Pelodiscus sinensis: one gene and its partner. The protein of the gene in region 2 binds, or shares a complex with, the protein of the main gene of each other region. Links are inferred from orthologs where the notes say so. Each region holds a gene or a part of one and is shown on either strand. Other genes may lie near its edges.

Region 1 (16,132 bases), on a different chromosome or scaffold from region 2:
CGCTGTGCTGACCAGCTGATTGTCAGCACAGCATGGTAGTCTAGACGGGGATCAGCCAACCCCAGATCCCTTTGTCATCAAATCCTTTATGTCTCATGAATGCTCGTGCCCCATTCCTCTCTCACCTCCTTCCACTTACCCCTCTCTAACCCCCCTTCCTGATGTACAAAATAAAGGACACGTGTGGTCAAAAATAGAAACTCTCTTTATTGAACAAAACTGGGGGAGACTGGGAAAAGGAGGTGGGAGAGGGGAAGAGAGAGGGTGGGAGTGGGGAGGGCAACTAAAATGATGAGGGGTTTGGAACAGGTCCCATATGAAGAGAGGCTAAAGAGACTGGGACTTTTCAGCTTAGAAAAGAGGAGACTGAGGGGGGATAGGATAGAGGCCTATAAAAGCATGAGTGGTGTGGAGAGGGTGCATAAAGAAAAGTTCTTCATTAGTTCCCATAGTAGAAGGACTAGAGGACACCAAATGAAATGAATGTGTAGCAGGCTTCAAACTAATAACAGAAAGAAGTTCTTCACAAAGCAAATAGTCAACCTGTGGAACTCCTTGCTGCAGGAGGCGGTGAAGGCTAGAACTAGAACAGAGTTTAAAGAGAAGTTAGATAAATTCATGGAGGCTGGGTCCATGGAGCGGTATTAGCCAGGGGGTAGAAATGGTGTCCCTGGCCTCTGTTTTGGAAGGCTGGAGATGGATGGCACGAGACAAATGTCTTGGACGTTGTCTTCGGTCCATCCCCTCCGGGGTAGCTGGTGTTGGCCGCTGTTGGCAGACAGGCTACGGGGCTAGATGGACCTTTTGTCTGACCCAGTACGGCCGTTCTAAGCTCAGGGTTGGGGTCTCACTGGACCACCTTGATTTTCATGCAAACCTGCTCCTGGGTGGCCAGGCTGGCAGCTATCCTGCCCTAGACGGCCACTTTCCTGTGCCTAGTGTGGAGGTCGTGGATGAGGTCCACGATGTCTGCACTAGACCAGGCGGGTGCCTGCCTCTTGCGGCCCCGGGCAGGCTTCTGGGAGCCACCAGCCTGGTCCCAGGAAGAGGCGGAGGGCTGGGTGGCAGCGGGTGGCTGGCTCGTGCCGTGCCAGGTGCAGGGTCTGCTGGCTGGGTGCTGGCAGGCTTGCACCTGGCACGGGCACCGTAGCCAGCCTGTGCCCCTTTAAGGGCTCCGGGGTTGGGAGGGGGGCAGAAGAGTTTCCCTGGTGGTGCCCAGAGTGGCCACCAGGGAAAGCTGGGGAGGGCTAGCCTCCCACTAGTTCGAATTAAGTGGCTACACAGCCCTTAATTCGAACTACTTAATTCGAACGAGGCGCTAGTCCTCGTGGAATGAGGTTTACCTAGTTCGAATTAAGCGCTCCGCTAGTTCAAATTAAGTTTGAACTAGTGGTTTGTATGTGTAGCGCCTATGAAAGTTAATTCAAACTAACGTCTGTTCCCTGTGGTAGGGGGATGGGGTGCATAGTCTGGAAGGATGCTTGGATGCAGGAGAAGATTCTGGCCTGGGGGAGGGATGTAGGAGGAGGCTCTGGGTCGGGGAGGGAGTTGTGACGTAAGGTAGGGAGGTGCAGAGGGTTTGGATGGTGACCTGGGGGAGGGAGCTGGGCTGTGGGAAGGGCAGGAGTGCCAGAGGCAGGCTCTAGCTGGGAAGTACTTACCTATGCATCTCCTGATCTGCAGCACCCCCCAGGCAAGCTGGGCTCCCTTCCTGCTGCAGCCCCAGACCGCTTGAAAATACAGGCTGTTCCCTCCATGTGGATCTCAACTGCAGGTTGGGAAAGAGGCTCGCGCTGCCCCCATATCCCAGGCCAATCTCTCCGCTCTGATTGGCTTGCTGTTTCCAGTCAATAGAAGGTGAGAGATTGGCTGAAGTCAGTTATCTGGCCAATAGGAGCTGAGGATTGGGCTGTGGGTGGGGAGATCACACAAATCAACCCCGCTCCCTGCAGCAGAGAAACATAGGACCTGTACTTTAAACTGCAGCAGCTGTGTGCCTAAGACTCCTGGCAGGGTGGTTCATGGGCTGGATCCAGCCCCTGGACAGTATTTCACTCAGCTCCAGGTTAACTGGCTAAACAATATAATTTTACCCATTTAATGGGGTAACTATTTTAACGGTTTGCCTTGACCCCCACTCCCCAGAAACTTTTCCACCTTACTTCTGCAGATATTATGGAGCAAACGCAAGCAGTTACAACAGTGGGAATGTGGCTTTCACTGAAGTCGAACTTAGTAAATAAACTTCAGTACCTTGTCTTGCATTCTGCATTTGTTCAGCCAGTAGTTCCACGTGCAGGGCCAGGTAGGCAGGCAGAACCTCAGAGTCTCCATGTGTTGATGAGACAACGGTATAAGGAGAAGGGGTTTAGATTTATTAGGAACTGGGGAAGCTTTTGGGAAAGAGGAATCCTCTACAGGAAGGATGGGCTCCACCTAAACCAAAATGGAGCCACACTGCTGGTACTTAACATTAAAAAAAGTCATAGAGGAGTTTTTAAATTAATGGCTGGGGGAAAGTGGAGGGGTGCGGAGAAGCACATGGATCAAACAGAGACATCTCTTGGGGAGGGTCTATTAATAGAGGAGGAGAGGATGGAAGATGATAAATTATGGGTAAAATCAGATGAGAAACAAACCAAAAAGAGTCTAACGCATCAGGAAATGGCACACAGATAAATAATGATACATTTTTAAGTACTTATACAAAAATGCTAGAAGTCTAAATAATACTGTAAGATGGGTGAATTAGAGTGCTTATTATAAAAGGAGGATATTGATATAATAGGTGTCATAGAAACTTGAGGGAATGAGGACAAGTCAATGAAACACTGTCACACCAGGGTACAAAATATATTGGAAGTACAGATCATGCTGGTGGGGGAATGGCACTATAAATAAGTGAAAGAAAATATAGAAACAAATGAAGTAAATAAACCAAAATGTTCCATAGAATCTCTATGGGTAGTAGTTCCGTGCTCTAATAATAAGAATATAGCAGTAGGGATATATTATCAACCCTCTGACTAGGACAGTGATAGTCAGGGCTCGACAATTAATGTAATCTACTCACCCGTGGCAAGTAGATTACAAGCCGGCACAGATGTGCAGCGCGATCTGCACATGCGCACCGTGCCGAACTGTGCGGCCGGCGAGTGGGGCTCGCCACGGTTTGGCGAGCCCTGGTGATAGTGACTATGAAATGCTAAGGGAGATTGGAGAAGCTATCAAAATAAACTCAGTATTAGTGGGGGATTTCAACAATCCCCATATTGACTGGGTTTATGACATCTAAAGACAGGATGCAAACATTAAAATGTCTTGATACCTTAAATGACTACTTCTTGGAGCAGCTAGTACAGGAACCCACAAGGGGAGAGGCAATTCTCGATTTAGTCCTAAATGAAGCACAGGATCTGGTCCAAGAGATAAATATAACTGAACCTCATGGAAATAGTGACTATAATGTAATAAAATGTAACATCCATTATTACAACATAATGTAATAAAATGGGAAAAACAGCACAGCAGCCCAACACTGTGGCACTGAATTTTAGAAAGGGGAACTACACAAAAACGAGGAAACTAGTTAAACAGAAATTAAAAGGTACAGTGACAAAAGAAAAATCCCTGAAATCTGCACGGAAAGTTTTCAAAGATACCATAATAGAGGCCCAACTTAAATGTATACCCCAAATTAAAAAAAACACAGTAAGATAACCAAAAAAGTGCCACTATGGCTTAACAGTGAACTAGAAGAAGCAGTGGGAGATAAAAAGGCATTGTTTAAAAAGTGGAAGTTAAATCCTAAGGAGGAAAATAGAAAGGAGCATAAACTCTAAGTTTAAAAATATGAGAAAATTCAAAAAGGAGTTTGAAGAACAACTAACCAAAAACTCAAAAAGTAATAGCAAAATATTTTTAAATGCATCAGAATCAGGAAACCCGCTAAACAACCATTCGGGCCCCTGGATGATTAAGACACTAAAGGATCACTAAGAGATGATAAAGTCATTCCAGAAAAACTAAATGAATTCATTGCTTCAATCTTCACAGCTGAGGACATTAGAGAGATTCCCAAACCTGAACCATTCTTTTTAGGTGACAAATCAGAGAAATTGTCACAGATTGAGGTGTCATAGGAGGAGGTTTTGGAACTAATTAATAAACCGAACAGTAACAAGTCACCGGGACCAGATGGCATTCACCCAAGAGTTCTAAAAGAACTCAAATGGGAAATTGTGGAACTATTAACTGGTTTGTAACCTATCGATTAAATCAGCTTCTGTACCTAATAGAAGATAGCTATTGTGAAGCCAATATTTAAAAAGGGCTCTGGAGGTGATCCTGCATAAATGGCCCACCTTGATAGAACCTGTAGGCTACTCATAGGGCCAGGGCAAGTCACCCCTTATGTCCCTAACTCCTCTTCTTTGAGGTGCAGCCCTTGTCTTGTGAAGTTGTGTCCAGAGCAAATCCAGTATCTACAGCAGGAGTAGACAAAACACCTCTCAGCAGGCTGGATCCAGCCCACCTAAGGCTTTGATCCAGCTCAGGCAGCAGTTGCAGGCCCTGCCTCCTGAGAGCTGGAGATGTGTGAGCCTTTTCAGCTGCTTCTATTTAAAGGGCTTGCACCGGCAGCCATGGGGAGGTCACAAGCCCTTTAAATAGGAGCAGCTGAAAGGGCTTGCATGTCCTGGTTCCCAGGCAAAGTGCTAGTTGCACCAGAGCTGCAAGCCCTTTAAATAGAAGTAGTTAACAGGGTTCCCCACTCCTAGGCTTTGTCTACACTGGCGGGTTCTTGTGCAAGATCTCTTGTGTAAGCAAACATCCACACTGGCCAGAACCGCATCGTAAGAACGCTGAGCTCTTGCACAAGAAAGCGTCCACGCTGGCGGGAAGCCCTTGCACAAGAACGTGTCTCTGGAAGAAATTTGGCCATGTCAAGAGGTCACCAGCAGTGCCTGTGGGCATGCGCCAGAGCCCCACTGGGAAAAGTACTTAAAGGGACTCCTGGACGGCTGTTTCCTTTGTGAGGGAGCGAAAGCCACAACAGCACCTGTCACCTCTGTTCCTAGAAAGTGCCCCTGGGCACCCTCACTGCCACCGTCACAACCATGGAGCCGAAGGAGGACCCCAGCCAGCAACATCCCCTCATGGCCATGAAAAAGACTGTGGAGCTCCTCCACCAGGGAGTCACATTGCTCCAGCAGGAGCTGGAGAGTGGGCAGCAGGTGCAGGACCTCGCCATGGCTGCAGCTGGGCTCGGACACCCGCACTCCACCACTGACAGGCGCCTCTGGAGCTACGACCCCAGTGGGAACTGGTGGGAGTGGCTGGTGCTGGGACAATGGGGTGACCAGCAATGGGTGCAGAACTTCCGGATGCGCAGGGGGACGTTCCATGAGCTCTGCACCTGGCTCACCCCTGCGCTCGGGAAGCAGGGCACCCGCCTGCGCCCCGCCATCCCCGTGGAGAAGAGGGTTGCGATTGCCCTCTTGGAAACTGGCCACCCCAGACAGCTACCGCTCAGTGGCGAACCAGTTCAGGGTGGGCGGGTCCACCGTCGGCACGGTCGTCCGGCAGGTAAGGCCCTCCGTGGACCACAGGCTCGTCCTGGGGGAGGGAAGGAGCCAGACCAGGCGGGGAGAGGCTGTAGGGGCAGGGGGAAGCCCCACACCCAGGGGGTCATCCTGTCCCTCCCCTGGGACCCTGAGGGGGGGAGGAAATCCCGGGGAGCAGAGGGCCCTGGCCTCCATGGGGGGAGGGGCCATCAAATGGAGGGTGAGCACACCCTAGGGGCCCATGTATGCACTGTGTCTCATTCCATGCATCCCCTGTGCTCCCAGGTGCCCCTCTGCAGGTTGTCCAAGCCATCAATGATGTGCTGCTACAGAGGGTGATCCGCCCCCATGATATGGACATCACCATTGCCGGCTTTGCCAGCCTTGGGTTCCCGAACTGTGGGGGAGCCATAGACAGAACCCACATCCTCATCCGGGCGCCAGAGCACCAAGCGGCCCAGTTCATAAACCGGAAGAGCTACTGCTCAGTGGTGCTCCAGACACTAGTGGACCACCAGGGCTGCTTCCAGGACATTTATGTGGGCTGGAGGCGGGCACCTACTTCCCCTAGTGGGAATTCACCATTGGAGATGCCAGTCTGCATCCTGGCTGATGCGGCCATACAGGCCACTTTCAACAGCCACCTGGACCGGGCCCGCAATCCTGTGGAGTGCACCTTTGGGCATCTGAAGGCACGGTTCAGATGTCTCCTGACCCGCCTGGACATGGGGGTGCAGCACATCCCGGAGGTCCTCTCGGCATGCTGCGTGCTCCATATTATTGAGGGGAAGAGGGAGGCCGCCTTCCCAGGCTGGATGGCAGGTGAGGGCCAGGCCTACCAACCACCATGGGGTGCGGGTCCAGGAAACCCTCCGGGTGATGCTGGATCAGGCCCCACAATAGGCCGCCCCTACACCTATGACCGCAGGGATGCCCCTGTGCCCCCAATTCCCACTCCCATCACCACCCCTTCCTGCCACCCTTCCCTCACCTTCCAATAAATAAAATGCACTGGCTTTAGATAAGGCACTTTTATTTACACAGGAAAGGGAGTGCACTGTGGGGAGGAGGGGACCCGGAACTGGGAGGAGGGGGGAAGAGAGGACCCTGAACTGGGAAGAGGGGGGAGGAGGGGACCCTGAACTAGGAGGAGGGGGGAAGAGAGGACCCTGAACTGGGAAGAGGGGGGAGGAGGGGACCCGGAACTGGTAGGGCCTCATGATTGTGAATGGAGGCCTCTCCCACCCCCATGGGTGCAGGGACACCTCTGCCCCTCATGCCGGGCTGGGGCAGGCTGCACCAGGAGGTGGCAAGGCAGGGAAGACCTCGGGAGGGGGCATGGGCAAGGCAGGGGGAGAAGCGGAGGAAGAGCTGAAGGTGGCATAGCGGGGCCTGGCAGCATTGGGCTGCTGCACAGGGTCGATCGGGTCTGCAATGGTGCCCAGGAGAGTGCACACATGGTCGCAGCACTCCAGGTACTGGCCCCACACCCGCTCCCGCCACTTCGCATCTGCGGATCTTCTCCATCAGAGCGTGCTCCATGAGTTCAATTGCGCAGACGTGGTGGCAGAGCAGCTGGTGGCGGTCCCGGGAGCGCTGCGATGGGCCCTGGATCCTTTGCGCCGGCGGGATGGGGCTGGAAGATCCCTCGCTGCCAGGGGGTCCCACTGCAGGAGAAGCAAAGGAGAGCAACATGGTCAGTGAGCCCTGCCCCAAATGGTGTTCCAGAGCCCCGTGCCCTCCTCCCAGCACGTCACGATGCCTGGGGACAGGTGTGGCTGGTGAGGGGGAATTCCCCTGGGGCAGCGTGAGGGGAGTCCCAAGGTGGCCCAGGAGCCCCCAGGGGGGCCGCATGTGCTTGGGGGAGCCTGTTGTCCCTTTCCCAGGGGAAGCTACAGTGTCCCAGGGGTGACCATGGATGTGTGCTGTGTGCAGCACCCTTTAGGCTGTGTGGGGTCAGGCCTGCAACCTTGGGCTGGCCTACTCCTGGTCAAACCCAACTGCCCCTCCCCCAGTCTGGTCGAGCGGAATCCCCGGGGTCCCAGGCGTGTGCTGGGGCGAGCTGCCACTTCTCTGTGCCACTCGGTCTGGCTGCACGTAGGATTGTCGGATGGTTTCAATAAAAATACCGGACACACTTGACGTTACATGACAGTCTACATTACACCTTAGTTAGAAAATCCCAGACATGTATATTTTCTCATTTATATCCCCTCAATTTGTTTCCCAAACAGAAAGCTCAAAGACTGGACTGTCCAGTTCAAAACTGGACACCTGGCAACCCTGGCTGCACAAGGTTGCACGTGCTGCATGCCTCTGCGCAGCATGTGGCCAGGCTGTGCCATGTACTGCTATCTCTCCCCCACCCCTTCTCCAACACACTTGCGAATGGTAGCCACTGCACTCACCAGACAATCCGTTGCCAGCTTCAGAGGATGCCCGGGACACATCCTGACTGATGGTGATGTCAGGATGGTGGGCCAGGATGGTGAGGTCTGGCTGCTGTCCTCTGCCACCTCCTCCTCCTCATCTGAGGACCAGTCTCCCTCCTTCTCCTCCTCCTCCTCCTCCGGTTGCCTACATCAGACCACTGGGGTGGCCACCGCTGTGTCCACGTGGGCCAGCAGGGGACTGGCCCCTTTGTCCAACAAGATCTGTTGCAGGCGGTGATAATGGGGACAGGCAGTGGCTTCGCCACCCCCACGCTCACTGGCCCGCACGTAGGTGAGGCGCAGGTCCTTCACCTTGGCCCACACCTGTTCCAGGTCCGGGCTGGGTGTCCCCGCACGGCCAGCGCCTGGGCCATCTGTGAGTATATGTGGGCATTCTTCCTCTGGGACTTGGGTTCCCGGAGGGCCTCCTCCTTTCCCCAGAGATCCAGGAGGTAGTCACCTCAGCGGTGCTCCAGCATGAAGCCCGCCACTTGGTGCCCCTTTGGGCCTGCTGGGTGCTCTGGGGTGGCTCCTTGGTGGGGGTCTGAGGGACCTGACTGAGGCTGGGCAGCTACCATTCCTCCCTCTGGCTGCTATCCGGGCCACACGTGGCAAATGGCTGTGCTGCATGCCTGTGCCTTTAAGGGGGGAGGCAATTGGGGGAACCGAGTGATGATTGTCTGTACGGAGTGTCAGAGAGGCCACCTGTGTTTTTGACTGGAGGCCAATTCTTGTGCAAGTACGCATTTGCCGAACGTTCACACTGCCCTCTTGCGCTAGAGCTTACACCTGATAGAAAACAGCGTAGCTCTTGCACACGGAGCCGTCTCTTATCACGCCATACTGTACATTTACTTGCACAAGAGCGGATGGGCAGTGTAGATGCTCTGCGGATTCGCAAGAAGCCGCAAGTGCAGACGTAGCCCTAGAGCACTGCCTGGGAGCCAGAACACACAAACCTTTCCAGCTGCTTCTATTTAAAAGGCTCGCACCTTTACAATGGACGCCAAACAACGTGTTGCCCAAAAGAGTTCTTGCGCAAAATCATGCCAGTGTAGACGTAGCCATGGTGTGAACCCTTCAAACAGAAGCAGTTAAAAGGGCTTGCAAGTCCTGTCACCCTAGCAATGCACTAGTGGTGGTGGGAGCTACCAGCCAACTTAACTGCTTCTATTTAAAGGGCTCACACGTTCCCCACAGATGCATTACCCGGCAGCCACTCAGCAGGTGCAAGCTCTTTAATAGAAGCTATTGAAAGGGCTCACTGCTCCCAACCCCATGCTAGTCCATTGCCTAGGAGCCAGGGATGCATGAACCCTTTCAACTGCTTCTATTTAAAGGACTGTCACCTTCCCCATAACTCTCAGGCAACAGCCCTGGGGAAGGGGCAGCCCTTTGGACAGAAGCAGCGGAAAGGGCTCTAGCATGCCTGGCTCCAGGCAATGCACCAGGAGCAAGGCCAGGAGCAGCAAGCCTTTGCAATAGCAGGGATTGAAAGGGCTCGCAGCTCCCCTGTTAATGTGATGCCAGGCCCCCTCACGCTCGCATCCAGGCCAGCCCAACCATAGACAAGCCACCACCCCCTCCTGGAGTGAGCCTGGAAGTATCGCGAGAGCTGCCTCGCTCCGTTCCCCCCCTCCCTCCGCCGTAGGTCTCGCGAGATCACCGCTGTTTTTCCTTTCTTGCCCTGACCCAAGGTGTTGCGCTCGCTGTCAGCTAATCAGATGGCCGGAATCCACGGGTAATCTCGCGATGTTTGCTGCTGGCGCCGCCCCCCTCCGCCTCCCCAGTCTTCCTCCGCGCCCCCCTCCCCACGTAGCGTTAATATGGTCGCTCGCGATGGACCCTGCACGGCCAGGTGAGTGCGAGCGGGGCTCGATCCCTCCGCCGACGGGCCCCGCGTAGCCGCGCCCCGATTCCCCGGTTCGCAGGCGCCTGCCCCGCTCGCCGCCCCTCCCCGATCCGCCGCCCTTTGTTCGGCCCCTCGCCGGTCACGGCTGAATCCCGTCTCCCCTGGGCGTGTAGATCTAACGGGGCTGCGTAGCGGGCGCACCCCGCCCTGGTAGCGCTCCGCCTGCGCGCTCCCGTCGCGGCTTGTCTGCGCGCCGGGCGGGGGCCGCCCCACAGCTCTCCCCCCCCACAAAATGGCCAAGCCCCGCCCTTGCGACACGGGCGGGGGGTGACCCCCTTAGCGAAGGGTGAGCTGAGCAGGGCCCATCACACACCTGCCAAGCATTCGTGCCGCGACACGGGCTGGTGGAGTCCCCACGAGCATGATGTACTGGGCCCCACGTTTCTCTGGGCAGGCATGTCTGTCACCGAGGGTACGTCTAGACTACCGCGTTTTGTCGACAAAACTTCCGTCGACAATTTGCGTCCAGACCCATGGAGTTCTGTCGACAAAGCAAGCCGCGACAGAACTCCGTAGTCTGGACGCAACGTTACAGGCAAGAAAGAACACCTTCTGTCGACAGAAGGTGTTTTGCCTCGTAAAATGAGGTATACCAGCGTCGACAAAACCGCGGAGTTCCGTCGACGTTATGTCGACAGAACTCCGCGGTAGTGTAGACGCTGGTATTGTTTTGTCGACAAAAGTCCACTTTTGTCGACAAAACTAGGTAGTCTAGACACACCCCAAGTCTCTCAGGGTGTGTCTAGGCTACCTAGTTTTGTCGCTTTGCAGTGTAGACAGAGCCTAGGAGAGCGAAAGAGGATTTTCTTCTCTTCAATTCTATCCCCACCTTTTGGACTTTTGTCGACAAAACTATACCAGTGTCTACACTACCGCTGAGTTCTGTTGACATAACGTCGACAGAACTCAGCCGTTTTGTCGACGCTGGTAAACCTCATTTTACGAGGCGTAACACCTTCTGTCGACAGAACTCTGTCGACAGAAGGTGTTATTGCCTGTAACATTGCGTCCAGACTACGGAGTTCTGTCGACAAAGCAGCTTGCTTTGTCGACAGAACTCAGTGTGTCTGGACGCTCTTTGTCGACGGAAGTTTTGTCGACAGTATCTGTCGACAAAACTTCCGTCGACAAAACGCGGTAGTCTAGACGTACCCTCAGTCTTTACCAAGCTCTTCCAAGTCCTGGGTTAACAACAGAAATGGGTTGAAAACAATGGATCTCCTGCTTGTTTTCTTTTTGAGTACCTTTGACAATGCTGCAAAAGCGACGAGGAGTCCTGTGGCATCTTATAGACTAACCGAAGTGTTGGAGCATAAGCTTTCATGGGCAAAGACCCACTTCGTCAGATGCAGTATTTGACAATCCTGTAGAGAAGCAAGGAACAGATAGGGCTTTAGTTTTTAACCTTGGGTTAAAAATCCCATCACTTAGATAATTGAGTGCCATGTCGATCATTACTTCAGAAGGTGGAAGGGCTGGTTCATGCAGTTACTATTTATTAAGCTGTCTCACTTCAAGTTGGGGGCCACTGATTCACAGAAAAATCAATTGGGGCTGCACACAAGTGAGAAGTGGCCCTCAACTGAGGAGAAAGACACTCCCTACATTCCCCTACTACACCAGAGCATAGGGAGGCTCAGCCTAATAGATTTTGTTGCTCCAGCCCCCAGGTGGGGCAGTGGGAGGGCTGGAGTACCAGTGCTGGCTCTCCAATGCTGGGGCGGCGGGCTTAAGCCTTGGGGGCCAGATCCTGGCAAGCCGGGGGCTGCCTCCAGCTCTGGGGGGTCTGAGCTTCCCCACCCCTGCTTTAAATGTTTGTGAATACCTATCTCACTAATCTTTTGATCTGAGGAAGTGGGTCTGGCCCACGAAAGCTCATCATCTAATAAACCATCTTGTTAGTCTTTAAAGTGCTACATAGTCCTGTATTTTATCTCCCTAAGTATCTCACTGTATTTTTTAAATGATTATGTCCACGTTCTTCTGTTATTGTTGACCATTTCCAGTTCCTTTTTAATTTCCTTATCCTGTAAATACATTTAGCAAGTGAGTAATGTGCTACTCAGGCATGTTTGCCTTTCAGAGTTAGGGTCTAAATGATCAGCTGTTAGTAGAACCTGTCATCATTGTATTAAATTATCATAAAAGTAAAATAATCTGTGAAGTGCCCATGATGCTGCATTTACATTATAGAGAAAATGTGACCAAAGAACCAAGGCAGATCACTAAAAAAGTTAAGCTTCTATTGCTGGTACAATCTTTTAAAATCAATGAAGTCCATTTTCGTGCAAACACTGAGGCTACGTCTACACTGGCCCCTTTTCCGGAAGGGGCATGTTAATTTCACCTATCGTAGTAGGGAAATCCGCGGGGGATTTAAATATCCCCCGCGGCATTTAAATAAAAATGTCCGCCGCTTTTTTGAAGTAGGAATAAGACCCTCCGGAAAAGGGCACTTTTTCCGGAGGATCGGGGCCAGTGTAGATGCTCTTTTCCGGCTTTTTTAAAAGCCGGAAAAAAGCGGCGGACATTTTTATTTAAATGCCGCGGGGGATATTTAAATCCCCCGCGGATTTCCCTACGACGACTGGTGAAATTTACATGCCCCTTCCGGAAAAGGGGCCAGTGAAGACGTAGCCTTATATTTAACTTTACTCACTGGAATTATTCCATTAATCCTTGTAAGGCTGGTTGTGGGTGGTATCAAGTTTTAACTTTTGTTTTTAAAACAAAATTGAATTTCTTATGTATGTTCTTTGGGCCTCCCTAAAACGTTATTAACATTTTTGTCCACTTACATTAATATCAATTGAGTGGCAATAAATATTATTTTTGTAAATACCATTCATATTGAAAACAATTTCAAATTAATATGCAGTTCTTTTCTACAGACTTTTTTCTCTTCCCTTGGTAAATAAGGTCTGTTAATAAAGTGGCTAGCTCAATGGTTTGAGCATTAGCCTACTAAACCCACAGTTGTGAGTTCAATCCCTGAGGGGGCCGTTCGGAATAGGAAGCCTAATCCGAACTACCTAGTTCGTGCCACGTGTAGCCGCGGGCACGGAGTCCGAACTAGCGGACATTTAAAAATGGCGGCGCCTGGCAAGATACAAATGAAGCTCGGGAAATTCAAATCCCGGGCTTCATTTGCAACTCTGGTTGCCTACATTAACCACCCTAGTTCGAACTAGGGTGGTAGTGTAGACATACCCTATATAGAGACTAGATGCCATATTTGTAATGGTATTTAGATATGTAGTGGGACTTACAAAGGTTTCTACATGTCTAACTCCTATTGAAAGCCTCATTCCTTAAGAGGTTTGAAAATCCTAGTTGGTACCTATTTAAGCACCTAAAGATCTGGCCCTGAGTGATTTGTCCAGCGTCACACAGTGACATCTCTGGTGAAACAGGGAATAGAACTGCATTCGTTTGAGTCCCAGGCTACTGCCTGAACCGCTGCACCATCTTTTCTTTCCACTTCATAATTTGCTGCATTATTTTTCAGAATTTCCGTTCCAGTACTTAATTGAAAGATTAAACGGCAACCCAGAAAAGAAGTTCTACAATATCCCTAAACTTGGAGGCACCAAGTATGGTAATACTACTTTTGAATAGCTTTTTATTCGTATGGTTCCACTGGTAAATATGTACCAGTTATGTGATGCAGGAGGAGGAGCTAAAAAGTTGAGTAGTAGCTTGTTGTGAGATGAAAGAAATGATGCTTCACCAAGCTTTTGTGCTATGAGAGCAGTGAGAGATGCTACTTGATCTTTATTTTGAATGCTTTCAGTAAGTCATAGAAAACATTTCCATTACAGAAAATCACTACTTCTGTTACAGAGTTAACAAGTGATGACAAAAACACAAACTCTGTGTTAGGGATGTTAAATGGAGTTTAATTTACTAATCAGTTAGTCGATAAGCGGAGGAAATCGCGGAGCTGCAACGGGGTTAGCTCCTGGCCCTGGGAGTTAACCTCTCCGCGGCTCTGCCTTTTACATGTATGAAGAGCTTGCCAGCTCTTCATACATTTAAAAAGCTGAAGCGCTGTGGGGGAGACCAGGCGCGAGCCGGAACAGCTTACATCCCTACTCTGTTACCTCTCTTGTAAATAAATGCACTGAAATGAATTTATGGTGTTATCACATAATTCTTCTACATTTGTGTATCACTGACCTATTTACTCTAAAGACACTCTCCTGTTTCTTTGAGGGTTTCCTTGTGTTACAGTTTAGAGCCAAATGCATTTCCCTTAAGTCAGTGGTCACTGACCAGTAGATCGCGATCTTGGAGCTTCTGTCAGATGATCCTGACTGGTTTGGCTAGGAAGTTATCAACAGTTAGCACTTCAGTTTCCCCTCCATCCACTGTCATGCTGCTCCACCCCTCTGCTTGGAGCTGCACCGTCCCTCCCCCCAAGAGCCTCCTGCTTGCTATGCAGGGTGTGGGAGGGGAAAGAGGGGGGCAGTGATATCAGGGTGTCTCCTCCCCTCTTATTCATGTACCCGATCTCCACACAGAGAGAAGGGAAGGGAGGGAACTTGGCAGTGTAAATATCTGTCACTCTCACACACTGTGTCTCTCTGTCAGTCTTACACTCACACACACTGTCCATCACTCTTGTCTCCCGACCCAACATATACGTGGGTTGTTGTTTTTACTTCTTTAACCGCTTATGAAGTGTGTTAGTTTTGGTTTGTGACTGGTCTGTGCATTTCATAAGTTTCATTTCTCTCTTATGCTTAAATTTAATTCTTTGAGTAGTGAGTTCTAAAATGCCTAACCTGTTGTGGCTGGGGTCATTATCTCTATGGTAATTGCTGCTTCTGGAAGTGGCTGGTGTGTTCCTGCAGCCACTGAGAAAGCATGTGGAGACCCCTTCTCTGCCTGTCTTTGCCTGCAGACACCACTCCTGCAGGTCCCATTGATCAGTAGTGGGGTTCTGTGACCGGTAGAAACTGTCGGCACATGGAGCCATTGCTGTACATGCCAGCTGCTTTCAGGAGTGGTGCAGGCTCACGACAGGGTAAGCCTGCTTTAACCCCACTGCTCCACACCCATAAGCCATCTCAATTATATAGTGCCCAGCCAGAGCCTGCTTCCTGAACCCCTGTCCCAGCCCTGACCCTCTATGGTAATTGCTGCTTCTGGAAGTGGCTGGTGTGTTCCTGCAGCCACTGAGAGAGGCAGAGCAGGGGGTACCCAAACTCCTTCCCAGAGCCTGCACCTCAGCCTCCTACCCCATGCTGGTGAAAGTGAGTGAAGATGGGGAAGAAAGGCGGATGGAGTGAGCAGGGTGAAGCCTCGGAGAAAGGGTAGAGCAGGGATGGGCCTTCAGAGTGGCGGGAAGGAATCAGGGTAGGGGTATTTGGGTTTGAGGTAGATCTTGTATTGCACATAAATAGAAAGTGATTTTTTGTTTAAAAAGGTTGGAGATCACTGCCCTAAGTGATGCAGCAAGGGTACTTGCTGTCAGGCTTCTAGCTCCCTTGGTGTTGCCTTACGTGTATGGAGACTTACTTTGATCTCCTTCCTAACTGGGTATTTCCTGGCTGAACAGTTCCCTGATTATACTATAAATCAGTGGTCCCCAACCTTTTGGAACTGCCGCGTGCCCGGGGGGCGGGGCCACACACGCGCTGGGTGCCCGGGGGAGGGGCCCCCCATGCGCTATGCGTCCAGGGGCGGGGTCGCCAATTCACTGCACACCCAGGGCCGGTACCCCCCATAGCCGCGTGCCCGGGAGTGGGGCCTCCAATTTGCCGCACGCCTGGGGCTGGCGCTCCCCATGCGCCGTGCATCCGGGCGCAGAGCCGCCCATTCCCCGCACGCCTGGGGGCGGGCCGCCCATTCGCTGCACACCCAGGACCGGTGCTCCCCAGGCACCACGCGCACGGGTGCGGGGCTGCCCATTCGCTGCGCGCCCGGGGCCGGTGCCACCCATGCGCAGTGCACCCAGGACCAGCCCCGAGCACTTGGCGAGTGCACATAAATACCCCAGCGGGCACCATGGCGCCCACAGGCACTGTGTTGGGGACCACTGCTATAAATTCACCATCGATGTCAGGCTGCATGCTTTGCTTTTTTCTTTTAGAGATAGTTAACAATGCAATTAACATAAGCACTCCCTATCCAAGTATATTTAATCATTAGGTATAAACAAAGAATACAGATAAAATATTAAACAATTCAAAGAACCTAATTACATACTAATAAGCTTA
Region 2 (16,283 bases):
CGGCTGCCCGGAGCACTTCCAGGTTCCAGATGGTCTCAGAACTTTTCACCATGGCCATGGGGCAGACAAACAATACCACCTTCTGGTCTTCAAAAAGACTTGAGCCCCTAGATTTCATTGTCCCTGGAATCCAGCCCCAATCACCACAGTGCTATTTTTAGTGTTCTCCCTTCCCATTCATACGAGTCCATCTACCTGACTGGGAGATTCACTCCTAGCTGCAGAATCTAGCGTTCCCTCCCTCTAATTTTCCCACCCATATGCAGAATGAATTTTCATGATGGGGAGGGGATAGGGCTGAGTGGTTCAGCATATGAGAGGGGGCTCAGGACTGAGGCAGAGGGTTGGGGCTCAAGCTCTCAAGTAGATGCTGGAAGGATAGCAATTGATAAAGTGGGGAGGGAAAAGTGATTTAGAGAAGCAGGAACATATTTTGCTGCTGGTCAGCTTTGAAGGGAGGAGGAAGAGAGAGCTGATGTACCAGTTGCTGTTTAGGAAGATCTGAACACGGAAGGAGATGTGGTTGAGGAGCTAGGGAAGGAGCTAATTCTGAAAACTCCAATACAATAAAACTTTAAACAATGAATAGTTCTGCAGCAACTTAGAGACTAACAAAAACTGTACATGGTCTTAGTCTCTAAGGTGCTGCAGAACTATTTGTTGTTTCTCAATTTTTTTCAGTTACAGACTAACACAACTACCCCTCTGAGACTCCAATACAATAGATTTGCTGGTTTCTCTCATGTTTTAGACCTCTGATTTACCTGAGAACACCTCATTTAAAAAAAATTATATTAGGAACACACTGAAATTTTCATATGTGATTGAAAATATTGTAAAGAAAAGTGATGAAATCAGTGTTATTTTCTAATAAACACAATGAGAAGTTACAGAACTGTCTCGAAACAAAGATGGGAAAATAAATTGATGGAGTTACTGAGAATGGCAAGTGGCATCGCTAGTGAGCTCATTTAATAGTCTTGGGATATTGACGAGGGGATAGCAAAGTTGTAAATTATAAGAAGGCCTCTATTATTTGAATTTAGAAACTTTTATAAGGACTGAAAGACAACTAATAATGTGGTTTTATATAAACATTCTCTATAAACTCCTCTTTATTTTTCTGTCTTAGTAGAGTTGAATTTGCTTGGTGGTTGTTTCTCATACTAAATCTAGGGAAGTATTCACTAATCAACACTGTAGTCACTGCTTAGAGTTTAATTATTACCAAATATCACTGCATATGTTTCTGACAACAAACTCACAGCTCAGTGAAATGGAGTGAGTACTGAAAAAATGGAAATATTTTTTCTAATGTAAAATGAAAATAATATTAAGAACTGTTATGCAGCAAGATAGAAATTATCTGGGCTATGTAAATCCAGAAAAGAGTCAGCTTCTTCACAGTCAAATGTGTCACTGAACAAAATTTTGTCTTTTGAAACAGAAAATCAGAATGCTGATTTTGATTAGGGATGTTAAAAGGCTTTTTTCTTTTTTTTAATTTTCACTGGTCACATGTGGAGAGAGGGAGCAGTTCCACAGGAGCCAATGCATGCTGAGCCAGCTGGCTCCCCTCCATGGTGTGTAACCATGGAGGTTAATCAATGAGCCCAGGTTCATCAGTTAACCATTTAAACATGTATACTAACACTTCCCTAATTTTGAAACCCTTAATAATGAAATATTTTCATTGCCTGTGTTGCTAGAGAAATGTAGTCACACTTTAATAATATAAATCCCTTATCCAGGCCTTTGAGCAGCATTTCAGTTCAGTCAGGAGCATTTTCTCCTCAAATTCAACAAAGATTAATGTACAATTATGTTGTAAGAAGTAAAAGACGCCAGCTTGATAAATTCCCTTCAAAAGAATGGTTTGAAGTACCTTTTCTTTAATGTGCTCCTCCAGACAGATTTAAAATTTACAGGTTCACTAACATGTGAACAGAAATTAGAGAAAGATCTTAAAATCAAAATTGACATGCTTCATAGGATGTGAAAGGACAACCTGAAAATAATTAATATTTTATACAGTGAAACCTGATGTGTAGCCTTGCATAGATACAAAATTAGTCTCTGAATCTGTAAAAATGAGCCGTAGATACCCACATGCAGAGGTGCAGATATGCACAGAAATAAAGTAGATATCCACAGATTTGCACGGCTCTACCAATTTGGTCTGAGTAACTAACAATAACCTCATTAGAATGGAAGCCAAAAAACAATTCAGGAACTTCTCCATTATCTAGCAAACATGACTGATCTCAAATACAAAGGTCGGAGATAAAGAAGGAGCTTAAACAGAATCAGAATACTAGAACTGGAAGGGACCTCAAGAGATAAAATCCAGTCCCCTGCCCTCACAGCAGGACCAAGCACCATCTAGATTAGGCATGGGCAAAATGCAGCCTGCCAAGCCACCGGATTCAGCCCGCGGAGACAGCAGGCCCAGGCAGGCTACCCTGCTTGCCCCGCAGCCCCACGCACCATGCAGAAACACAGCAGCCAGGCTTCCATTCTGTCTCAAAACTAGAGGAGGTGGGGGTTCAGGAGCCACCTCATCTTCATCCCCAGCACAATCCCACTGGCTGGTTTCTGGCCAGAAACCAGCCAATGGAAGCTGCCTGTTTGAACAACAGGCAGCCAAGAAGAACCATAACCCCACCCATCCTCAGCTCAGTTATTCAATGAAGCACATGGCCAGGCAAGCAGGCAGTCAGGCAGAGAAACATTTTAAGCTCTGCAAGCCTTAGCTGTGCAGGCAGGCAGATTTGGCTGCTGGCTGGTAAGTGTCCTGACCACTGCCTGCCTCTGGCACTCCAGCCCCTCCCTGCCCTAACCCTCTTCTCCCCCCCCCCCCCAATCTCAATATACCCAAACCCTCTGTCCCCCTCTTACGCTCAGACCCCTGCCAAGATCTGGGGCCCAAATCTCCTGCCCCAGATCACAATCCCCTTCTACCAGAGGTCACATCCCAAAACCCTGCACTCCAATCCCCTACCCTAGGTCACAACCGCCTCCTTCACCCAAACTTCCTCTCAGACTCCAGTCTCCCTCCTACACTCCAATCCTTTACCCCAAAGCACCACTCTGCACCCAACTTCCATCCCAGACCCCACATCTCCTTTATTAATATTATGGAAGAGTGTGACCCTTGACCACTATCCAAAATTTTGGAATGGCATCCTGCAAAAATTATTGCCCACCTCTGATCTAGATCATTCTGAATAGACGTGTGTCTAACCTGCTCTTAAATATCTCCAGTGAGGGACATTCCACAACCTCCCTAGGCAATTTATTCCAGTGTTTAACCACCCTGACAGTTCAGAAGTTTTTCCTGTTGCCCAAGCTAAACTTCCCTTGCTGCAATTTAAGCCCATTGCTTCTTGTCCTATTATCAGAGGCCAAGGAGAACAATTTTTTTCCCTCCTCCCTTTTACATATTTGAAAATCACTATCATGCCCTTTCTCAGTCTTCTCTTTCCCAAACTAAACAAGTCTAATTCCGTCAGCCTTCCCTCATAACTCATGTTTTCTAGACCTTTAATTATTTTTGTTGCTCTTCCCTGGACCTTCTCCACATCTTTATTGCAATGTGGTGCCCAGAATTGGACAGCACTCCAATTGAGGCCTAATCAGTACAGAGTACAGTGGAAGAATCATAAGATCATAACAACGGCAATTCTGGGTCAGACCAGAGGCCCATCTAGCCAGTATCCTGTCTGCCAACAGTGGCCAATACCAGATGCCCCAGAGGGAGGGATCACAACAGGTAATCCTCCCGTGATCCCTCCCCTGTCTCCTACTTCCAGAGAAACAGAGGCTAGGGACACCATTCCTACCCATCCTTGCTAATAGCCATGGATAGACATAACCGCCATGAATCTATCTAGCTCTTTTTTTAACCTGTTAAAGTTCTAGCCTTCACTGCATCTTCTGGCAAGGAGTTCCACAGGCTGACTGTGTGATGAGTGAAGAAAACCTTCCTTCTGTTTGTTTTAAACCTGCTGCCTATTAATTTCATTTGGTGACCCCTAATTCTTATATTGTGGGAATAAGTAAATAACTTTTCCTTATTTACTTTTTCCACACCAATCATGATTTTTAGACCTCTATCATATCACCCCTTAGTCTCTTCCTCTCCAAGATGAAAAGTCCAAGTCTTTTTAATGTCTCTTCATATGGGACCCGTTCCAAACCCCTAATCATTTGTGTTGCCCTTCTCTGAACCTTTTCCAATGCCAATGTATCTTTTTTGAGATGAGGCAACTACATTTGCACACACTATTCAAGATGAGGGCGTACCATAGTTTTACATAGAGAATAAGATAGAAAATATCTTATTGCCTTTATCTCTTTTTTAATGACTCCTAACATTCTAATCACTTCTCGTCTTGTTCACAATACTCCTGATAATACATCCCAGAATCATGTTTGCTTTTTTTGCAACAATGTCAGACTGTTGACTCATATTTAGCTTGTGGTCCCTAGATCCCTTTGTGTAATACTCTTTTCTAGACAATCACTTCCCATTCTGTATGTGTGAAATGGACTGTTCCTTCTTAAGTGGAAAACTTTGCATTTATCCTTATTAAACTTCATTCGATTTACCTCCGACCATTTCTCTAGTTTGTCCAGGTCATTTTGAATTTTGACCCTAACCTCCAAAGCACTTGCAACCCTTCCAAGCTTGGCATCATCTGCAAACTTAATAATCATACTCTCTATGCCATCATCTAAATTGTTGATGGAAGATATTGAACAGAACCGGTCCCAAAACAGACCCCTGCAGAATCCCTCTTGTTTTGCCCTTCCAGCATGATTGTGAACCATTAATAACTACACTCTGAGTAAATAAATATGTTCAACCCAACACAATCTTACATATTTTCCTTCCCTTCTTACACTTAAAAGGGCAAAGCTAGATTTGTTGCCCCAGTACCTAGTTTGTGATGGTTGGGCCACAGTTTATTGCATGAATTTGTTGGAAAATTAGAAAGTAAACCCACAGAAGACTGGACAGTTGAATACCCGATTTTGTCAATATATAAAACAACCCACTCTCCAGTCCTACTACTTAAGCATCACTGAAGTGTGCTTTGAAGACAAACTGATTGATTTGCTATAAACTTTGTAGCAATGTTGAAAAAGCAAGTGCATTAATAAAAGCGTATGAGCATTCAAAGCCCAATACAGAAGAATGTTAAGGCCAAAAACAGCAGCAATCAAAGGATATGTTTTACAGTAGGGGTGGGCTCAAACTTTTTATAAGCATAGAGGACGACATTTTACTGATTGTCTCACACATCCCTCTGCACTACCTGTACCTGTAATGTAGATGCCTCTCCCAAAAGGCAGATCAATTGTGATCACATAACATGGCTGCGGAAATGACAAAGGTTACTTTTGTGGAAAAATAACATTAAGAAGCTATTTAACGTATTCTTAAAGCGACTATCAACGTAGTTTTGCAACTTCAAATGAGAAAAGTCAACATCAGCAGAGAGCTACGCCAGCAGCTGCTCTGCGGCCACCATTGAGATTGGCACACCATAGTTTGGGGGGAGGCGCCAGATTTCTAAAATCGCAGCCTTTCCAATGTAATCAACAAGCCTTTTTATGTTTGAGAAATCTCCTTCACAGCCATGTCGGTCCTTCAGGGGCGCCTGGCACGTGATACCGACACCTGCACAGCACGCCAGGGCCCTGTACACCTAACTCCGACAGTGGAACCGCACGGGGTAAGTTGCTGCATCTTATAAAACGGGAGGGGCAGGGTGGGCGGCTCCACAACAAGCCCTGCTCTTCCCAGCCGGGAAAAACCAGCGGAGCCTTGCTGGGAGTTTGGGGGGGGGGGGGTGAAAACCGCCTAGAGGGGAAGAGAGCCCGGCGGGCGGGCGGGGCAGCGGGACGGCCCCCGAGCAGTACAGCCCTGCTGCCGGGGGCGGCGGGAAGCAGACGCGGCTACTTGTGCGCCGGGGCAGGCGCAAGTTGCCCAGCTCGCGGGGCTGAAGAAGCCCCGGCTGCTGGGTGGACATCGGGCCGGAGCGAGGCGCTCGGCAGCCCGCCAGGGCCGCATGTCCCTGCCCTGTCCCGGGGAGAGGGGCGGGGACCGCTGCGCACTCTGTAAATCCTCCCCTGGGGGCGGGCAGGTCCCACCCCGCTCCGGCCGCGGGCTCCCCCTCGTCCCGCCCGCTACCTTGTCGCAGTAGAGCCCGACCAGCTGCTTCATCCGCCAGTGCGGCGCCGTGAAGACATCCACCTCGTCGGGGAAGGGAGCCATGTTCTCCCCATAGAGACTCGCCCTGCCGAGCGCGAGTAGCGGCACCAACCGCGGCAGCAACCACCGCTCTGCGCATGCTCCAACTCCCCCGAGGCCGCTCTGGGAGCGGGCCGTGCTCCCCGTCACGTGACAGGGGACACCTGAACGGCGGCGTGCCGCAACGGCCCCGAGAGCGCGTCGCAGTGTGCGCGCATGCGCGGGCTGTTTGCGAACGCCGAAGCCCCCTGAAAGAGTTAGCGTTCGGGGGCGGCGGGGCTCGCTCTATGGGCGGAGCTGCCAGCGCCTCCTTGCAGGCTGCGCCCTTCTCTAAGCTGCCGGGCCCCTATCTCCAGGGCCAGCCCCTTCCTATTAGAGCAGGGACAGAGGTTGGATTTCGGGGCATCCTCATCTGATCCCATGGATCCCCTGGCCCCTCATGCACCTTTCCGCAGGGAAAAAAATGGAACCATCTGGCTCTCCAGTGCACATGTGCTAGGAATAGAAACAGTCGTTTGCACATTGGAAACCACGTAACTGCTAAAAATCCTAGGGGTTACATGCCCTTGCAGGCTCTAGTATAAAGCTTACGTAAGCTTTATACTGCAGAGCCCTTGGCAAAGCTGGCTACGTTAGAGCAGGGCAGGCAGCCAGCTTATAACTATAAGAGAAACCTCTAAGCTGAGACTTAATCAGTTATCCCCATGTGCTAGTAAGGTCTGCTGACATTGGGAAAAGCAATCCCCAAGCTGCCATGGGTAGAGTGCACACAACACAGTTGACATAAAGGAACCCAGTCTACTGAATTATATGCTAAGAGCCCATTTCAGAAATGATTTGGGATTTTACTCAATGGGAGTTGAAGGCACCTTTCACAGAATCCAGTCCTTCAAGTCCTTCAAGACCTGAGCCATTTTTTCTCATTACTTTGTAAAGTCTCATTCAACTGGATGAAAGCTTAGAAGTTGCATTACTGAACTAGGTGTAATACCAAAAAATTTACTCAACCTTTAAATCCTGACTAGATGCCATACCAATGTCTGAGGTTGGGGAAAGCAAAGTTACTCACCTTCGTGCAGTAGCTATCGTTCTTCGAGATGTGTGTCCCTGTGGGTGCTCCACATTAGGTGCTGGGCTTGCTCTGGTGCCGCAGGACGGAGATGTTCAAAGCCGTAGTCAGTCGGACCACACATGCGCGGAGGGGGGAGGGTCTTGCGGCATTCATGCTCTCCCGCGCTGCACAATCCAGTCTCAACCAGTTCCTCGGACCCGCCTCAGAATCTGCAAAAAAGGAAACAGACTCCGAAGTGGGGAGGAGGGCGGGTAGTTGAGCACCCACGGGGACACACATCTCGAAGAACGATAGTTAATGCACGAAGGTGAGTAACTTCATTCTCTTCTTCAAGTGATGTCCCCGTGGGTGTTCCACATTAGGTGACTGAGAAGCAGTACCCACCCAAGTGAAGGAAATGGGATTCAGATGTCACTATGTACGTAAGGAGAGAACTGCGGATGCTACAGAAGTATCTGAGAGCCATCTTGTTTGAATAGCGTAGTGTTTGGCAAACATTTGATAGGATGGCCAGGTGGCAGCACTATATACATCAGAAAGGGGTACGCCTTTAAGGAGAGCAGTAGAGGTAGCCACTACCCTAGTGGAGTGGGCCCTAAGGGATTGTGGAAGGGGAACCTTTCATAGTGTATAGCACTGGGTTATACAGGAAACAATTAGGTTAGAGATTCTCTGGGATGATAAAGGTTGTCCTTTAGACTGTTCTGTGTGGGAAACTAGTAATCAATCAGTTTTCCTAAATGGTTTAATACGCTCCAAGTAAAAGGCTAGGGCCCTATGTATGTCCAGTGTATGGAGGGTTGCCTCACATGGTGAGGTATGAGGTTTTGGGTAAAAGGTAGGTAGCACTATTGGCTTGTTGAGATGAAACTCTGAGCAAACTTTAGGAGTAAAGGCTAGGTGATATCTTAGAATAACACTACCCTTATTGAAGATGGTGTAGGGAGGCGATGCCATTAATGCCGAAATCTCACTTGCTCTGTGTGCTGACATGATGGCGATGAGGAAGACCAGCTTTAGGGTGAGGGTCTGGAGAGGTATGGTGACTAGGGGTTCGAAAGGTGGTGCTGTTAAGGTGGAGAGTACCAAGTCCAGGTTCCATAGTGGGGTGGGAGTGCACAGAGGAGGGTTTAGGTTTAATAGGCCTTTGAGAAATCTCTTGGTGAAGGAGTGAGCAAAGAGTGAAAATCCCTCTATTGGCTGTCGGAATGCAGTCAGTGCCACGAGATGGACTCTTAAAGACGATAAGGCTAGTCCATTCTGTTGCACGTGTATTTAGGATGATGGAAATGGGGACCATTTGAGGATCCACGTTGTGTTCAGAACACCAGGAAGTGAAATGTGGCCATTTGGAAAGGTAAGTGATGCGTGTATTTTGTTTCCTACTGTGTATGAGATCATCCTTGACACGGTCAGAACATAGGGCCTTGGAGGCATTCAGCCAGCTAGGTACCAGCTGAGAGGTGAAGTGTATGCAATTGCGGGTGAAGGAGAAAGCCTCACTTCTGGGTCAGAAGATTCTGGATTAACAGCAGGTGATACGGTGGACGTCGTGCAAGTCACATAAGAAGTGGACACCAATGCTGACAAGGCCACTCCAGCGCTATCAGGATGACCGAGGCTTTGTCGAGCTTGATCTTCTGTAGGACTCTGAAGATAAGTGGGATAGGCGGAAAAGCGTACATGAGGGGACTGTTCCAACTGAGGAGAAAGGCATCCCCTAAGGAGTGGTGGCCTAGGCCCACTCTGGAACAGAATCGGTGGCACTTTCTGTTGCTGACGGTAGCGAATAGGTCTATTCGAGGGGAGCCCCAATGGCGAAAGATGGAATGGAGAATATCCCGATCAATTTCCCATTCGTGGGCTATTGCGAAATTCCTACTGAGGGGATTGTGTTGTAGATGCCAGGTAAGTAGGATGCCAGAAGGGTGGTGCCATCGGCAATGCACCAATTCCACAGTCGGATTGCTTCCGTACATTGCGATCGGGATCGCACACCTCCCTGGCGGTTTATATAATACATGGTTGCTATGTTGTCTGTGAAGACGCCCACTGTGGAGTTGCGGAGGTGTGTACGGAAATGTCTGCAGACATTGGCAAAGGCCCTCAATTCAAGGAGATTTAAGTGTAACAGGGATTCCTGTGGCGACCAGCGACCTTGTACGGAGAGATCGCCTATGTGAGTGCCCCAGCCGATGAGGGAGTCATCTGTGGTCATGTGACAATGCAGTGGCAGGTGATGAAACGGAGTGCCCGAAAGCAAGTTGTCATCTCCCGTCCACCAGTAGAGGGAAGACCTGACCATGGATGGAACATTTACCCACTTGCATACATTGTGCGTTATGGGATCGTATATTGTGGTCATCCAGTGTTGTAATGACCGAAAGTGTAAAATGGCGTGGGGAACGACGTATGTCGCGGAGGCCATATAACCCATTAATTTGAGTATGATCACGACTTGTACTGAACGTCAAAGATGGGCAGTGACGACTGCGAATGTTTTTGTGAAGACCCTTGGAGCTGTTGCGAGGCCAAAGGGCAGTACTCGATATTGGAAGTGATCTGCGCCAATCATGAAGTGTAGAAATTTTCTGTGAGCGGGGTGAACCGTCACGTGGAAATAGGCATCTTTGAGGTCAAGAGCAGCAAACCAATCGCCCTGCTCCAGGGCCGGTAGAATAGAGGTTAAGGTCACCATCTTGAAATGTTGTTTTCGAATATATTTGTTTAACTGTCGAAGGTCTAGTATAGGTCTCCATCTGCCGTTTTTTTCTGTACCACGAAATAACGGGAATAGAATCCTCTCCCTTGGAATTGAGATGGAACTCTCTATTGCTCCTATGGGGAGGGGAGGGGAAATCTCGGCCCGTAGCAGATCGTCGTGAGAGGGGTCCCTGAAGAGGGACAGGGATGGGGGAGTTGTGGGCAGGAGAAAATGGAATGGAATCACATAACCTGAGCAGATTATTTCTAAGACCCATCTGTCTGTAGTGTTATTGGCCCATTTGGTTGTAAAAGGGCCTTAGAAGATGGTGAAAGATGTGACCGAGGCTTTGGGGGGCTATATGCTTGCTTCCGACCAATGCCTCAAACGTACTGCTTATTGCCTGGATGCGTTTGCGCACGGTTATTTTGATTCTGGCGTCTTATTGATCTCTGGCGTTGATTTTGGTGTGGCTGGTCGAACTGCCAATGTTGTGGTTGCCGGTGTTGTCTGGGATGGAGATAATCGTAATGCCTTTGAAACGGTGTATAGCGTTTCCTCCTGTAAGGTGGGATGTACATTCCAAGTGACCGTAAGGTTGTTCTAGTGGTCTTGCTGGAATGTAAGACTGAGTCAGTCTTTTCCCCGAAGAGTGAATCCTTTTCAAAAGGCAAATCCTCCACTTTGGATTGTAGCTCCCTTGGTAATCCCGCTGCTTGGAGGAATGAGGCCCTACGCATAACTACTGCAGTGGCTGTGGTGCGGGCTGCGGTGTCTGCTACATCCATGGCAATCTGGAGACTGGTTTGAGTGGTGGCATAACCCTCCTGGATTACAGATTCAGGAAAGGCCTCCATCAGGTCTGTCAGCTTTGCATAATTATCGAAATTATGATTTGATAGATGCGCTAGGTAGTTAGCGAGTCTAAGGAGCAAAGTTGCAGAGGTGTATACTTTCCTCCCAAATAAATCGAGCCTTTTTGACTCCTTATCCAACGAGTTTGTTTTACACTGAGAGGCCTTGGCTCGTTGCTGGGCAGCATCGACCACCAAAGAGTTGGGGTGAGGGTGGGAGAACAGAAATTCCAACCCTTTTGGGGGTACAAAATATTTTTTTATCGGCCCACTTATTAGTGGGAAGGGCAAAGGCAGGAGTCTGCCAGTGTTCGTTAGCAACTTCCAAGACAGCCTCATCCAAAGGTATGGCCAGTTGGTAGTATGGGTAGTCTGCAAATTTTTTAAAAGACGTTGTTTGTCCTCTTAGGAGGAGCCCTGGAAGGAGAGGAGGCGCTCCGTTTCTGAGGCTGCTGCGCAGGCCGAAGCTGGCCCTGGCGGTTAGAGCGCCTTCTCGAAGAGAATCTTGCGGAGCCTCATTTCGCAGTCATGGCGGGCCCTGGCAGTAAGTTTTGAGCAGTGTACGCATTTTTGCGGTACATGGCTCTTACCAAGACAGCGGATGCACGCGGCATCGCCGTCAGACGCAGGCATGGAGTCGCTGCACAGGGAGCATTTCTTAAACCCGGCATTATGGATGTTAATGCTGCTCCTTCCCTTTGTGTGCTCCGGCTTGTTTTCTATTTTTTTTTTAAATTATATACAAGAATCTAAGGTATAATGGAGAAGAGAAGGAGAATGGAACTTAAAGGACTATATACTAACAGGGAAAAACTTATTCTTTTTTTTTTTAAATGAACGTGAACAGATATAGAACTATTAATAAACGATTATAGAAATAAACTGAAGAATTATAACTGGGTTTTTCTCATGAAAGGCTGAACCAGAAGGAGAGATGATTGCTCCATCTGCAGCCTGAGGCGGTTGAAGAGGAACTGGTTGAGACCGGATCGTGCAGCGCGGGAGAGCATAAGTGCCGCGAGACACCCCCCCCCCCACACACACACCTCTACGCATGCACAGTCTGACTGACTATGGGTTTGAACATCTCCGTCCTGCGGCACCGGGGCAAGTCCAGCACCTAATGTGGAGCACCCATGGGGAAATCACTCGAAGAAGAACCTTTTTTGCATCGGGGGCTGCTAACCCATTGAAAAATCAGTTGGAGGGGAGGCCACACACAAGTGAGAAGACAAAAAAAACAACCCAAACCCTCACTGATGTGGCCCTTGACTGAGAAGAAGAAAGATATTCACTGTGCACACCAGAGCCTAGTGGGGCCCAGGCTAGTAGATTTTGTGTGCTGCAGTCTCTCAGTAGGTGTGGACTCCCCGATGCTAGGAGGAGATCCTTGAACCTCTGGGGCAGGATCCAGCCCCTAGGCCTGAGGTTCCCTACCCACGAACTAAGACATACAAGAAGCTGATGTACAGTGGAGCAGTGTTTCTCAAACTTTTTTTTTATAAAGTACCCCCTTTTTTTAAAAAAATTATAAGTATCCCAACTACCTACAATTTTCATACACACAAAAAAAATTTCTGCCATCTCAACACATTTGTTGAAGCAACTTAATCATAGCTGGGTGGGCGATGAAATTTTTGGGTGTAAAAAGTACAAAAATAATACAGTACTGTAAAACTTAAAACAAAAATTCAGTTTTCTCCAAATTTCAGTTGTGTTGACGTACCCCCCAGACTTCTCTTGATTATCCCTGAGGGTACTTGTACCACTGGTTGAGAAACACTGCAATAGAGGATGTGTCCACTGTGATTGGCAAGACAATCCTTTTTCCTAAACTGGAGTTAGGGATCCAATGCAGACTGCAAGCTATTCAGTATTTCTATACCACATATGACTGGATAAAGCAAGGTCAGTGCTAATCATTTAATACCCAAGAGAGGTGGTATGGATTCAAGAGCTTATTCTTTGGGAACTGCGTTGATATAATAGACTTCTGTAAAGACATTTACATAGCACTGTGCAACGCTTACTAAAAAAATTAATGCTACACAAAATCATTGCAGCATATATTAAATGTATTTTAAAAGTCTGTATTCCAAAAGTGACTAAATAGGAAATCATCAGTGAACTGAGGTGCTTCTAGTGGAGTCCCCGGTGCTAGTCAATATCTTTATAGATAAACTGGATAAAATATATAAAATTGTTGGCAAAGTAAGCAAGTAACACAAAAATGGTGGAGAAATTAATAATGATAGGTCAGTCCTACATAATGATCTAGATCAGTGTTTCTCAGCCTCTGGTCCATGAACTGGCACTGGTCCCTGAGATCTTTATGACACAGTTTAGAAAGGCAGCAAGCTGTCCCTTGTATCAAAAAGATTCAGAAACAGTGATTGAGATCACTTCAAAAATTGTATTTGAACAAAGTACTTTTTAATACAGTCAAATGCAAGGTCATACTTCTGGAAACAACATATAGCACTCAATAGGGGGCAGTATTTTACAGTGACTTTATGAGTCATGGAGGATAGCCAACTCAACATGAACTCCCAGTGTGGTGCAGCTGCTACAGGAGTAAACACCTAACAGCAGGAGTCTAAAGCTCAATCTATTAATTTATGAAAGGAGGGATTAAGAGCAGTGTTTCCTGTAATGTGAGCACTTGGGCAGCAGCCCAGGAGAGATTCAGGTGCCACCCAGCTGACTGGCAGAGTGCACACAGCTGACCAGAATCAGCAGCATGTGTTTCTATTGGTGGTGTACATGTGCACATGTCTTGGTGTACATAAGTAAATGTATTCTGCACATGGATGGGAAAATTTAGAGGGAACATTGATTAAGAGGTAGCTTAAATCTATCAGAAAACAGCATAATGAGATCTAATGGGTGGAGAATGAAGATAGATCAGGGATCGGGACATCATATGGGGCCACAAGGGATCACATGCCCCCACCCCAACAAAATGCTAGAGACAGGAGGGGCCATCCAGCAACCAGCCGGGGAGGGCCAGGCTCCCACAGCAGGAGTCTGTGCCTTCTCCGCCTCCCCCCCTCCCCCCACACACTCACTGGTAGTGGTTGGGAAAGCGGATCAAGGCTTCCATGCTGCTTTGCTCTCCTGGCTGTACCACGCTGGGGGGAGGGAGCAGGATTGCTCCACATCCCCCAGTGGGAGTGGAGTGATGTGGCAGCTGGGGGAGCAAAGCAGTGGGTCACCTTGCTCCACTTCCCTCACCACTAATGGTGAGTGTGAGGATGGACCCCTGCTGCCAGGGCTGGCCCTGCTAGTGACCTGGTCCACCTCTGTTGGGAGAGGAGGCAGGGTGGGGGCAAAGCAAAGGTGTGAAAGAGTCAGTAGAGGGCAGGACAGTGGAAGAGTGAAGAGGCAGGCCCTGGGCAGAAGGGGAGTTGTTTCAGCTCTTCCCTGGGCTGAGGGTGGTCACATGGCTGGTGGCCCACTGGGATCCCATCCAACCAGTTGCTTCTGTCTGTTGCCTCAGAGCAAATTTTTTGGTGGCTTCAGAGTGCAGCCACCGACTTTTGCTGGAGGCTGCTCTCACAGTTTTTCCTAAAATACTTAATTAACTTTAGGAAAAACAAACAAATGTGCCTATGTACACATCCAAATCATTGTAATTTATTTATAGCTAGCTAGGAAGAGTTGTGAAAAGTGATACTAACAAACATAGCAAGCATCACTTTTCACAGCAGATGCACTTAGCCCTGGCAAGCCTGGGGGCAGACTGAGCCCTGGACGGTGGCTAATGTCTCACTACCCCAGACCTGCTGAGCAACAAATGCAGACAAAGGGTGAGCTGGAGCAGTATTGCTTTTGGGTTGTTTATTGGTACAGGCTCTTAAGAGTAAAGTGATACTCTCACACATACACATCAAATTCATGCTGGCTGTTTCGCGGCAGATTACTTTTGATTACTTTTGATTTCACTGGTGGCTGGAGTGCTGGCCAGGCATCAACTTCCCAGGGACTCCACCATGATGCTCCTTGGGAGATCCCTTCAGATCTGCAGGAGGCTTCTCTGGGCCTGTCCCAGGTTCCTGCTGCGATGTTACATTTTGTGTGTGTGAGAGCGAGAGATTTATTTTCTGGCCCCTTCTCAGTTAATTTATCTGCTTGCAGGGTCTTTGTCTGCCTTAAAAGGTCACAGGCTCTAAACTGCCTTTTTGGCTGGGTATTTCTCATTCACACCCCACATACATTCCACAAGTTACAGACATATATATAAGCAATATGATTTCTAGGTAAATAACCAGAAACCTATCATAAATTGAATTACTTGACATACTAAAAGGACCTAATGTAAATACTATGGGTTAACATACCAAAGACATGTTAAAGACTTCACATAAATCGTAACTAAGGGTATGGCTAGACTGTGGCGGGTTTTCGGGATACCAGGGGAATGTATTTGCTCTTCTGCTTTGTATTCCTCGTTCCACGAGGATGAAGGCAGCTTTTGAAAGAGGGGGCTTTTCCGGAATTTGGCCCAGTCTAGATGGGCCAAATTTTGGAAAAGCCTCTTTTGACAAAAGTGTATCTTTTTCCAATAGATCCTCACAGTCTAGCTGTATCCTTAAGAAGAGATAGGGTCAAAGGGAAAGGGAAAGCAGAGGAGTATGTCCAGTCAGCTTGGTGCCAGTGAGGAGGAGGGGGGAGGTCGTGTCCGACTGCTTACAGGTAAGGGGAGCAACTGGAGGTCAAGCGGGGAGGCAGCAGGGGGCTGGAGCCTGTAGCTACAGCCCAAAGCTCTGCAGGCGTGGGACAGGGCCCAGGCATGGAGCCAGAAGCCATGGGTCTGGAGCTCAGAAATGGAGCTGAAGACCCAAACACAGAACCTACTTCCCTGCCACCCCAGGAGCCCAAACCTAAAAGTCCCACCAGCCCTGGGGGAAATGGGAACACACCAGCTCCCTGCTCCACCAGTGTTGTGCCCCAGGCATCTCCAGGGAAGTGTAGGACCCAAACCCTGCTGCAGCCCCAGCAACCCACACCAATCCAGTGCATCCAGGAGCAAAATGAAAGCGGAAAGTGCATATTTTTTGCGCAAAAAACCACGAGTGTAGCCATAGCCTGTGTGTATTAGAATTAGCTGGCATGTTTTGTTTATTTTGGCTTAGTAACTTATTTCAAACTGTTAGTTTTCACTTGCATTCACTTAAATCCTACTTTTTATACTTAATAAAAAACACTTTTGTTTATTATCAAGCCCAGTGTAAATAATTGTTACCTGTGCACCTCATTGTGCACCTCTCTCTTTCATTGATAAAGAGGGTGAACTTATAAGCCTTCTCTGTGTAAAACTTTTATACAGAGTAAGATGGATTTTATCTGGGGCTGTGTTCCTCTTTGGGGCTGTGTTTCTGAGTGCTGTCAATC

Evidence for each region.
Region 1: the proteins of FBXL5 (region 2) and IREB2 are in contact, whole or in part, in a cryo-EM structure (PDB 6VCD), measured with the Homo sapiens proteins. The link is inferred for Pelodiscus sinensis from reciprocal best matches to the Homo sapiens genes FBXL5 and IREB2. Residues at the interface, in NP_036293.1 of Homo sapiens: Asp656, Glu657, Tyr661, Cys662, Asp663, Asn664, Ile665, His669, Ala670, Asp671, Thr672, Ala673, Ser674, Gly675, Cys676, Gln677, Asn678, Leu679, Gln680, Cys687, Arg688, Ser689, Gly690, Glu691; in NP_004127.2 of Homo sapiens: Asp89, Phe90, Ser129, Asn217, Val220, Glu221, Arg224, Arg228, Ala758, Gly759, Ser760, Arg763, Asn764, Thr777, Pro778, Arg779, Asn782, Ser783, Tyr784, Gly785, Ala786, Arg788.

Annotation. Positions count from the first base shown.
Region 1 is NC_134724.1:39,660,874-39,677,005, reverse strand, and holds the start of IREB2 (iron-responsive element-binding protein 2), read left to right. Parts: upstream 1-9,729; 5' UTR 9,730-9,748; coding exon 9,749-9,854; intron 9,855-13,416; coding exon 13,417-13,506; intron 13,507-16,132. UniProt on the Homo sapiens protein: RNA-binding protein that binds to iron-responsive elements (IRES), which are stem-loop structures found in the 5'-UTR of ferritin, and delta aminolevulinic acid synthase mRNAs, and in the 3'-UTR of transferrin receptor mRNA.
Region 2 is NC_134715.1:107,295,986-107,312,268, reverse strand, and holds the start of FBXL5 (F-box/LRR-repeat protein 5), read right to left. Parts: upstream 6,382-16,283; 5' UTR 6,284-6,381; coding exon 6,200-6,283; intron 5,742-6,199; exon of another isoform or gene 5,526-5,741; intron 1-5,525.